Oryzias latipes: one gene and its partners. The protein of the gene in region 3 interacts with the protein of the main gene of each other region in a biochemical or structural test. Links are inferred from orthologs where the notes say so. Each region holds a gene or a part of one and is shown on either strand. Other genes may lie near its edges.

The links.
Region 1: of the proteins of lnx1 (region 3) and numb, one has a biochemical effect on the other in vitro, tested with the Homo sapiens proteins (2 studies listed by BioGRID, with this or other methods). The link is inferred for Oryzias latipes from reciprocal best matches to the Homo sapiens genes LNX1 and NUMB.
Region 2: the proteins of lnx1 (region 3) and rasl11b form a complex in vitro, tested with the Homo sapiens proteins (2 studies listed by BioGRID and IntAct, with this or other methods). The link is inferred for Oryzias latipes from reciprocal best matches to the Homo sapiens genes LNX1 and RASL11B.

The regions. Positions count from the first base shown.
Region 1 is NC_019880.2:1,035,098-1,039,716, reverse strand, and holds the start of numb (protein numb homolog), read right to left. Parts: upstream 2,865-4,619; 5' UTR 2,682-2,864; intron 2,297-2,681; exon of another isoform or gene 2,174-2,296; intron 1-2,173. UniProt on the Homo sapiens protein: Regulates clathrin-mediated receptor endocytosis. Plays a role in the process of neurogenesis.
Region 2 is NC_019862.2:917,997-921,981, reverse strand, and holds rasl11b (ras-like protein family member 11B), read left to right. Parts: upstream 1-1,559; 5' UTR 1,560-1,677; coding exon 1,678-1,792; intron 1,793-1,867; coding exon 1,868-1,924; intron 1,925-2,000; coding exon 2,001-2,077; intron 2,078-2,406; coding exon 2,407-2,904; 3' UTR 2,905-3,421; downstream 3,422-3,985.
Region 3 is NC_019862.2:756,963-759,919, reverse strand, and holds the end of lnx1 (E3 ubiquitin-protein ligase LNX), read right to left. Parts: intron 2,148-2,957; coding exon 1,989-2,147; intron 1,908-1,988; coding exon 1,772-1,907; 3' UTR 910-1,771; downstream 1-909. Other genes in the region: fip1l1 (pre-mRNA 3'-end-processing factor FIP1), read left to right, coding at 368-493, 573-654.

The sequences.
Region 1 (4,619 bases), on a different chromosome or scaffold from region 3:
GAACCACATACCCAAGTGGCCTGGGTCACATTTGAATAGATCGGATCTGTGTCGTTCAGACTGTCATGAAAAGATCAGATACAGGTCGCATAGGGGCAAAAAAATCAGAATTGGGTCGTTTCAGCCTGCGGTGTGAACGTAGCCAAAGAGGTTCATGGATGTATTTGTCTGCAGGTGGATGAATCAGAAGGGGGCGGAGCTGGGAGACTTTGGCCCCGCCTACCACAGCTGCTGCTGTGGTAGGCTGCAAACAGCAGATAAAAACCTGCTGTTTGAAAAAAAACAGCAGGTTTTTATCTGCTCCTGATCCATGACGATTTGAATAAAGAAATATTCAGAAATCCAATCTTGTAATCTTAACTTCTTCTATACATGTCCTCCATCACAAGAAAAATTGGACAAAAATGACCCCCCCATGCAAAGGTGATAAGGGGTTTTGGAACCCATGAACCGCAACTTGAAGCATGTGTAGAGAAAAGGTTGTGGAGAAGAGATCAAAGAGCTTCACCTCCACCTCTGGCGCTAACTCAGAGGATGCTGGAGAAACGGGGACAGTCCATCCCTCTGGCCCCACCATCCCTCATCCCATTTGTCTCTGTGCCTACATGAGAACATCATGTCTCCCACTAAACCGCACCCCACAGAGGAGGACTGGGCCTTCTGGGCTTCTCCTCCTGCTGCTGACATATTCACAGGGGGGGCGCTTCAGTGAGAAACTGCCAATGCCCCTCCCCTAATTCTTGGGGATGACCATGGGTTACTTTAACAACCTTGTGGAAAGAGAAGCCCCGCCCCCATTTTTCAGCCTATTAGAAACACTGGAGCTGAATTGATTCCGAATGTGAACCTGCCTCTTCAGAGGACCTCCTCACTGTGACCTTGTGTTTTTAAATAAAGCTTTGACATTTTGAAATGCAGCAGATTTCACTCTGATGAGATTCACTCAGGCCAGCGACTCGGCATTAATGCTTGTAAATGTTTAGTAATGATGTGCCTCCTGTTGTTGTAGGGTCATTTTATCAGACAAAGAAAACAACAACTCATTCAATTTCCTTCATGCTCATTATGAGCAGCAGGATGTGAGCTTAGAAAATGTGGATCATTTTGGTCTCTCAGTTATCATCATCATCTGCAATAAAATGTCTTCTGTTTTACAACACACAGCAGCACTTTCTGTCTGCATCTGTCATTTCTTCTAAAGACCAGTTCAAACCCAAACATACACCTAAAATAGGGCAGCTCCAAGCACCCGAAGAAACAAACCCTTTACAAACGAAGCCTTTTACATTTGGAAATCCAAATAACTACAGTACTTTTGAATTTCTAAGGAGATCCTGTCCTGCAAAAATCAATTTACCGTCCAAAGTATTCCATTAGAGGAAATTCGGATTTGTTACAATTCTATTTGATATTTTTCATCAATTTATTTAATCTAAAGTCAGACAACAAATAAAAAGTTTAAGAAAAAAGAGTTGAGTCATCCGAACCAAACGTCCCAGCTGAACTTTAAGACATCAGCTGGATGAATGAGATCCTTCATGGCATTTTACAAAATCCTATTTATGGAGAAACATATAAAACTGACATTTTCTTACTAATCAAGAAGCAATAAAAAAATAAGTAGGCAAATTTCTGAATTTTGCTAAACAAATAAGGGAACTTTATGGCTGTTCTAGCAGTTTAAAAGTGTGAAAATGAAGTGTATTAAAATTATTATTTCGTGAAAAGCAAGATTTAAACACCAGATGCTAAGTAAATTAATAAATGATCATATAATAAAAGCATGAACTTCGGCACGTGACAGACTGTGCCATAAATAAGCAGCATGATGCGGTCAAATATTAGAACTGTAAACTCTAGACTTTACCTTCTTCCCGGTAACGTTAACAATTCTCCTTAACTTTCCCCTTAAATCCCAAACAAAGCAGCAGTGTTTCCGCATACCCCCCCCCCCCCCCCGATCACTGTTTACCGTGACCCCCCCGTCACATAAACAAAGTTGTGACCTCGCGGGACGACGACAGACTCCCGCTTCCCAATGTCCGTCATGAGGCTCGCGCCGTCAATCACGCGCCTCTTTTCCTGTGGAAAGTAATCTGAGTACCGATGTGGATGCAGTGGGGGGGGGGGGGGTACTCCCGGCAGCCGGACGGTCTCACGGAGATACCATTACCTCATCTCGGGCCCCATTATCACACCTGGAAAAAAAAGCTGCGCGTTCGGACGATGAGTCACGGCTCGTTCTCGGAGAGCGCGAGCTCGGAGCTCGCGGAGGCTTCGACGTGAGCCGTGACACAGCCAACATCCGAACTTCTTCGCACTTCCACACCCGCGTGCGCACTTGTGACAGTGATATTACACGAGTGGGCCGTGTGTAACAACGTGTCGTGACAGTTCGCGTGCGCTCTGACCTCACCCGTTTACCTCTGAAAGTTAAACCAGGTACCTGGAAGTTAACCAGGTGATCAGAGGACGAGGAAAAACGTCGAAAGGGCTCCGTTTTCTTCGGTTCTTCCCGGTAACAGATTAGACCGGAGACGGTTTGAACACTCCTGCTCGCTCACCGCGTCATTAGAGAGATTACAGACCGAGCTAAGAGCCACAGAACCGGGCTAACACCACTGCATCAGCCGGGCTAGTGCTACTTTAGCCCCTTTTGCTAACCCTTCTTTCCCGCTCACCTGTGATCACCTCCGTGATCCAGACGTGGCCCCGTTAAAGCCCCGACTGTGACCGTCGAGCCGTCCCGTTCCGGATAATTCAAATTCCACAATAACCGTCACCGAGACCCTCCGGGCCAACCGCCGCCGCTGAATGGCTGCAGCGCGAGGATTCAACCAAACCTCGCCCTTGGCAACGGACCGCCTCCGCGCGCGCTCATAGGCCGGCGCGTGCGGGTCCACGGTGATCGATGGCCACTGGGCCAAATTCTGAGGGGTTGCCGACAAATAAGAAATTTAGCACAAAGACAAAAAAAAGATAAGGATGATTTTAGAGTAAATAAATTATTTTTAAAACATTTTAACTTTTAATTTAAAAAAGGAAGGAACAATTTTAATCTGTGCAATAAATTAATACTTTTTAGTAAGCTGTTTAGCAAAATCAAAATAAAAAATGTAAAAAGTACAAAAGAACGTTAAAACATTTAAATTCATTTATTTTATCTAATTAAATTAAAGAAAACATAAAAAGCTAAAGACGATTTAATGTTTTTCTCATTTTAATTAGCAAATTTTTTGTTTCTTTTGTATTTATTTTCTTCTATAAATTAATTACTTTTCTCGTTTGTCTCTGATTGATTATCATGTCTATTTTTTGTGAAAACAATGCAAAATATAACCATTAAAAATAAACATTTATGGGTTTTCAGGTTTAACAAAACACTATAAAGGCACCACTCTTGATTCTGCCAGTTTGATCAATGAACGGGAAAATGCACAATGTGTCATCCTGTTTCACCCTCTCTGACCAAATAAAGGTAATCATTTGCTTTGCATAAACTATGAAAGCACAGCTATTTGACACATGTTCCACTCTGCCGTTATTTCAGCGTCTGACTGATTCGATGATTTATTTCTTTGAGCAGAACTTCCCACAGTTCCTGCACAGCTCGTGTCTGAACCATCATCATGTTGATCATTTGACCATCTTCAGCCGCCCCACGCAGGCCTACGCCCCTCTACCCCCATAGCGACACACTGGCCTCTTTAGCTGGCCAGAAGTTTATCAGCATTCCTGACATAGCTCCAATGGGTACAAAGCTGCAGAGCAGCATATTTTCTCCTATCAGAAGGCAAACACACAGAGCTTCAGCCGGCAAAGCCGGTTATGATGATGGTTTCTCTTCTGTCTTGTGTCTCTGACTGCTGACCTCTAACACTGTCTCTACGCCTTTGAAAGCCAACCCTCTTAATCATCTCTTCTATCTTTTTATGCACATAACAGGCCTGGCAGGTCCTGGGGCTGCATTCCTGGTGAAATGTTGAAGTATTTTGCCCCCCTGTGGTCAACATGAGCAACATCAGCAACAAGCTCCTGAGCATTCGCAGGGAGAGGAGCTTCATTTTTCAAATATAAGTTTTGCTCAAATAAATACTGTCTGGCTTAAAATATGACCCCCCACAGGAAGTATTTGTGGCTGTTGTTGGATTAAAACCCATATTTTTGTTCAGTAATAAAGCTTTAATGTCCACATTTTCACTGAGAAAAGGGATCCTTTCCCTGAATGGAAGTAAAAATGCTGTTCACCTTTCAGCAGATCCCTTCAGGGTCGCCACAGAGAATCAGCTTTTACTGATTCATTATCAGTAATAGCAAACAGCAATTATAATGTTGTTGTTTACTGGGAAAAAAGCTGCCAGCAGCTTCGGCCGCGTGACCTCACCATGAGGTCACCTGAGCCGCAGCTCAGGATTCACCTTTAGTGAAGCAGCGTTTGAGTTTAACAGTTTCATATTTCGCTTCTTGCTCCAGAAACAACCCCAACAAAAATGTACAGTGAAAGAGTCTGGAGCTCAAGGCTGGTACCTCCCACCTCCTGCTCTGGAGTATTAACCCCCAGGATGCCCCCCCCCCCCCCCAAGACAGAGGAGACATGGGACCAAAGGGAGGAACTGACC
Region 2 (3,985 bases), about 160 kb from region 3:
TCGTCTGCTCCTGATTCATAATGATTTGCATAAAGAAATACTCAGACATGCAACTTTGAGCTTAATATTATCTATAGATGTCCACCTTCAAGAGAAAAAATGATACAAGAACAAGTAGAAACACCAAAAACACAATTATCATCAGATTGAGTCTTTAAGAAAATGAAAGGGATATTTATCATGATATCTGTTTGAACACTGTGTTCTCAGGATAAATATTCTAAAACTTTACAAGGAAAATTATTTATTAATGACAAAAACAATCGGGGAAAAAACAGTCAACCAGGGTAACCAAATAAAAGAAAACATCTTACAGGTGCACACATATTCATTCACTTTTGGTTTTTTAAAATAATAACACTGAAGACATTAAATTCTATTCTACCATTTGTGACAGTCTGGTTAGTTTCGTATTATAGTTACAATTTCTAATCAAACCAGGAGAAGTGTTGGAATATTCTACACTTCAGAGGGGTTTGTGCATCATTTCTTAATGAGGTGAGGGTTTCTGTGGGAGGAGGAGGTGCAGGATGCAGGAGTATGCATCCTCACCAGACATGTCTGAGCAGATCCCCACAAAGGATGAGGTGAAAACACCTGGACTCAAAACAAAGCAAGGCAGACAGACAGACAGACCGACAGACAGGCAGGCAGGCAGGCAGACAGGCAGGCAGGCAGGCAGGCAGACAGGCAGGCAGGCAGGCAGACAGGCAGAAAGACCGACGGGCAGGCAGGCAGACAGACAGACAGGCAGGCAGGCAGGCAGACAGACAGGCAGGCAGAAAGACCGACGGGCAGGCAGGCAGGCAGAAAGACCGACAGGCAGGCAGGCAGACAGACAGGCAGAAAGACCGACGGGCAGGCAGGCAGACAGACAGGCAGGCAGGCAGGCAGACAGGCAGGCAGGCAGGCAGGCAGACAGGCAGGCAGGCAGGCAGGCAGGCAGAAAGACCGACAGGCAGGCAGGCAGGCAGGCAGAAAGACCGACAGGCAGGCAGGCAGACAGACAGGCAGAAAGACCGACGGGCAGGCAGGCAGACAGACAGGCAGGCAGGCAGGCAGACAGGCAGGCAGGCAGACAGACAGACCGACAGACAGGCAGGCAGGCAGGCAGACAGGCAGGCAGGCAGGCAGGCAGACAGGCAGGCAGGCAGGCAGGCAGGCAGAAAGACCGACAGGCAGGCAGGCAGACAGACAGGCAGAAAGACCGACGGGCAGGCAGGCAGACAGACAGGCAGGCAGGCAGGCAGACAGGCAGGCAGGCAGACAGACAGACCGACAGACAGGCAGGCAGGCAGGCAGACAGGCAGGCAGGCAGGCAGGCAGGCAGAAAGACCGACAGGCAGGCAGGCAGACAGACAGGCAGAAAGACCGACGGGCAGGCAGGCAGGCAGGCAGACAGGCAGGCAGGCAGACAGACAGACAGAACCTCCGGGCAGGTTCTCCTCCCATATGTCGCTTCATTTACTTCACAGCATAACTGCTGCGTCCACGTGTGGGCGGGGGAGGGGGGAGGCGACGGGGATCCCACCATCCAATCAGCTGTGAGTAGCGCGCGAGCGCCTTAAAAGCTGCGCGCGCGCGGCGTCTGGAGCTCAGTCTGTGCCAGTGGAGACTGCGTGGAGACTGTTTGTAGCAGAACTTTGCCGGATCTTTTGTTCTCTCAGGAGGAGAACCATGAGGCTGATCCAGAACATGACGACCATCACGGAGTTCTGCGCTCCGGAGAACCAGCCGCTCAGCCGGGTCATTAAGATCGCTGTCGTAGGGGGAAGCGGAGTGGGGAAGACGGGTAAGAATGCAAACCGGTCTGTCCAAAGGTGGGCTTCAGGCGCAGCCATGAATAACCACTGCGGTGTTTCTGCAGCGCTGGTGGTGAGGTTCCTGACCAGGCGCTTCATTGGAGACTACGAGAGAAATGCTGGTGAGTTTCGGAAGAAAAGAAGCTTCATGGTGAAATTTGGCTTGTAATTTCTGAGGTTTTCCTTTTGCGCACGCAGGTAATCTGTACTCCAGAGAAGTTCAGGTGGACGGAGAACAAGTCACCATTCAGGTTCAGGACACGCCTGGGGGAGAGGTGGGTGCTGCTTCTCAGAAGAAAACATTTGTGGGTTAGGCTGGCTGACTGGATGCCCCCTCATCCTCTTTAAATGGAACCTTCCAACCTCCTGTAATTGAAGATGTCATTTTCCCTGAAGGATTGCCTTCATTCCACCCATCTTTAATAAGCTCTCATTTGGGGTAATGGCTGTCTGGGACAGCATAGGAGGATAGCTGGTTCAGTAATCCCATTTGTCTGCCCCACACAGCATTCCAGACCGTACTAAAGTTCAGGTGTAGAAAGCCTGCTCTGAATGGACCCTCCTTGTGTAAAACCATTGACATAATTCTTTCTTTGCTCCTTAGATGACTAATAACGGCGTCAAGCTGCCTGACCATGTGACCTGCTCCATCCAGTGGGCGGATGCTGTGGTGCTGGTTTACTCTGTGACAGACCGCCGCAGTTTTGATCTGATCAGTCAGCTGCACCAGCTGGTTGTCCGGGCAGGAGGCGCCATTGTGCCCCCTGTGATCCTGCTGGCCAACAAAGCTGACCTGTTGCACCTGAGGAGAGTGGACTCCCAGCAGGGCCCCCTCCTGGCTGGAGCCCTGGGATGCTCCTTCTATGAAGTGTCCGCCAGCGAGGACTACAACCAAGTGCACGGAGCGTTCCACAGGCTCTGCTGCCAGCTGGCCAAGCAGCCCCCCGCCCCATCCAGCTCGCCACACACTGGCGCCAGCGCTGCCCCAGAGAAGAGACGCTCACCACTCATCCCCCGGCCCAAATCCCCCAATATGCAGGACCTGAAGAGGCGCTTCAAGCAGGCGCTGTCGGCTAAAGTCAGGACTGTCACCTCGGTGTGAAGGGAGCTGAGAGGTGATCTGGACCGGTCAGAGTTAAGATTCATGCTTCTCCACTGAAGCGGAGAGGGCAGACGAGGCATGAACAGTCAGCAGGAAGGAGACGCGGCTTGTCGGGGAGGAGCCCACCGTGTCAGATGGAAGACATCCTGGGGGGAGGTTCAACATCAGCTGAGGAGGAGAGGAGCAGCTGAAGGTGTGGAACCCAGGTCTGACTGAGCTTCGTTACAAACTGTCCCTGAGGCTCTCCTGGCATGGGGATGCAGTGTGTTGGCATGGGGGTGTCTGTGGCAGCTCTTCAGACTGCCTGGAGTCGTACCAGCATCTTCACCCAGAGCTGTGATGTCAGCATCTCATGTGTAAATATGGTGTTTGTATTTTGCAGCTCCACCATGGGAGAAGAGATGTAGCATATGTTGGTCACGACCACTATTGCACTTTATACAAATGTAAATGTCCAGAGGGCCTAGTCTTATTTATTTGGTTACAATTTTGTGCATAATAAATGTTTCAAAACAAATTATTGTTTGTTGCTCAGATGCATGAGGCTGATGAAAAGACTAAGGTTGCGTCAGAATTCCTTCCCTAATCACTATATAGAGCGTTCACCATTTTCTGGTGCTGTCCGAATCAACAATTCCAAATTCCACTACCATTTCCCAGAAGTCTTTGCGAAAAACTAGTGTGCATCAATATTATATGCTCACAAAATTGTCAAACATAGACCACAATGCACTGTGTCTGAACCATTATTGCCCCAAAATTTATTTACATTCATTTTTTTTAAAATATCAACTTTTTTAATTTTTTTTTAACTTGTCCTGTCCAACAGCTGGGCAGACAGACGAGAGCTGAGGGCCTCTTGTGTTGGACATATTTTGCTTTAACAAGAGGGGTTATTAATCTTCTGACAAACCAAAGGTATGTCTGAATAAACCCCTTTTGTAATTGAGGCCAAACTTTATTAATTTCAATCATGTCTGAAAATCTTTGGTGTTGGACCGGACGGAAAAGGAAAGAGGGGAAGAAAAGAGAGGGTCGCTAGAGAGAGGGGGGGTAGGGGGTGATAATAGGAGGGGAAGGG
Region 3 (2,957 bases):
TGCTGATGTGGCCCTCAGTGAAAATGAAATTGACACCCCTGGTCTAAGGGATGCCCAGTTTAGTTTAGTCTCTTTCGTTTAGTTTAGCTAGTGACACTAGTCAGCTAGTGTATTTTATAGGTGATTTTATGTTTTGTACAATTGCCAGTATGAAGCCCATTGAGACAACTGTGTTGTGATATTGTGCTCTATAAAAAACATTGAATTGAATTGAATAAGGCTACAGTTTTTACTCCCCTTAGTCCTCACTGCTTGACACTGGAGAGCTGCAGGTTTGTTTTTGTGAATTGAAACTTTTCACTTGTTGCATTAGAAAATTGACCATATACGTACATACATTAGTCCACAAGAAAAATGTCCTCTACAGAGTGAAGGAGCAAACAAAGGCCAGGAGCTCCAAGGATGAGAGCCACAGATGCTGCAGCTTCAAAGACATCATGGGAGAAAACAGAAGGAAAGACAGAAGCTGGAAGCCTGACAGAGTTTCACACAGGTCCATCTAAACACACACTCTAAAAGACACACAGTAGAACTATTAATCAATTGGTCTTTTTTTCTATTTATCTCATCAGCAGCACTCAGGGAAGCTGCAGCAGGAAATTTGAAGATAGGACCATGGTAAAAGATGCAAAAAGAAGAAAAAACAAGACGTAAAAAAACAGCTCCACAACAGACTGTGCTGACCAGGAAGAACAATGAAATGTTCCTGATTTAACAGGAAAGAATGACTTTGATGTCATTTTACAATGCAAACAATTATTTGATCTTTTGAACATTTTTGAAGACTAAAGTTGATTTTAGAGGAAAACCTCATGAGTTTTGCAGAAAGATTTTGTTGCTTTGCTTCATGTCTTTTGTACTTGTGTTGTACTTGTGAAGATACAAGTGAAAAGTTTAAACCACACAACAGGTTTTGGAACAGCTTTATTAGTCTTTTATGGTCATGTACCATCAGATAAACTACACAGGCCGAAGCGTGACAAACAGAACCACAGGAGATAGACCATCCAGTGATGCACAGGAACAGTTATAGCTTTTTCTTTCTTAAAAGTAAGAAACTTTGTAAGGCCTCCACAATGTCACCTAATTAAATGTCACTTCAACATGTTAAGAACACATTGATCCTTTTATGTTGTCATAGACCTGCTTTGCCAATTGTTTTCTTTATTAAGAATAGCTTCTGAGAAAACAGAAAAACCTCACAGACTAGTACTTGGCAACGAGTCTTTAGTTTAACAGATGAGAACCACTGTCAGTACAAACAGAATAAAGCCTACGTTTGAAGGCCATACAATAAACCAAAAAAAACATATTACAAGTGATTGGACTGTTACTGTTTTCAACAACCAGCATTTTTACAGTACATAAAGAAATGTGAGTCCAACTTAACACATATCCTAATATATCTATTGGAGTTGGCAACAAGTTGTCTCCTCTTCTCCTCCCAGCCCACTCACTGGATGTTATTCCAGACAATGACAATGTTCTGTAAGTAAATAACATCTCGCAACATCCCATTCAGAAAAGTGGCAGGCTTGGATCCTCCCATTTCAGCATTCCTGGAGGGGCAACTTAAACTTTTGCTCACAGTTCAGTTTTGTTTTGATCACCCTCCCAGATTCTGGTCAAATCCCTGAAGAGAAATCAGTGTCTGCCTTCCTCTGTCCTTTTTCTCTCTCCAAGAAGTCTAAGGACAGTCTGCCGATGCAAGCTCTGCCTCCACATCCCTTGGTCATTATCACAGAAGCAGTGCAGGGAGGCTGGGGTGCCGTTACAGCAGGCTGCCCGGCCAGGAGACAATGGTCAGAGTGATCCTGCCCCGAAGCTCCTTCAGGAGGCGAACCAAGGCTGTGTGGGTCAGGCCCCAGGTGCTCTTCCCATTCACCTCCAGTAGGATGTCCCCGCATCTGCAGAAAAACAAGGCAGAGTGAAACCCTAAACGTTTCACTCATGCCAAAAACATTTTTGGATGGGGGTCACCTCAATACCTTATTCGCCCGTCGTTGTAAGCAGGTGTTCCTTCAACAATGGAACGGATAAAAAAGGATTGATTGCAGTTCATTTCTTCCTGACCCCCCACAATGCTGAAGCCCAGGCTACCCGACGTGTTCCTCCGCAGAACGATGTCTTTGCAGTAGTACAGATGTCTGCATGGGAGAAGGGGGAGAGCATAAATAAATGTTTGACACTTAACACTTGTTTCTTTTTGTTTTTTAAGTTTTTTTGGTATCTAGATTTTTCTTTGTCAGGTCCTGAAAATAAGGTCAATAAAATGTTGACGTACCAAACATTTAATTTCACAAGTAATTCATTACCCCCAGACTGAGCAAAAATGAAAAACAAATCTGAACAATGGATGGCAAATGTATGTATTTATTATACTTTTAGCAAATCCCCCCCTCCACAGTTTTTAAAACACCTTCCCTTGGGGTTCTGGCATGGGAATATTCTTAAAGGAACAAAAGGACATCTCTTTTGCATCTGCTTAAGTTAAACTTTGGACTTTACCTGAACCAATGAAATGTCTTACATTCTGTTGTGGGCTTGCCGCTGAGCAAAGCCTCACTTTCATTGAAGCTTTAGCCAAGGACATTTAGCCTCTGACTCTTTCAAGCTCCCTTCGGCTGCAATAATCTTTTGGCTCCTCTTTGACTGATAATGTGAGGCATTTTGGTTCTCAGTTTTGTTTAAGGACTTTGCTCCTTTGGGAGTTTTATCAAATATCAAACTTTTTTTTAAACTACCCAAACAGGGAGGCAAAAAAGTATTTGTCAGTCACAAATTTTGAAGCATAAAAAGCTGATTCTTGTCTGTAATGTTCATCCTAGAAACACTTCATTTGGCAGAGAAAGAATGTAAAAAAAAATCCAGGAAATCACATTGTTTTGATTTTCAAAGATTATATTTTAGTCCATCAGATCTTCTCAGGAACTGTTGCTTGAAATCTAAGACCTTTA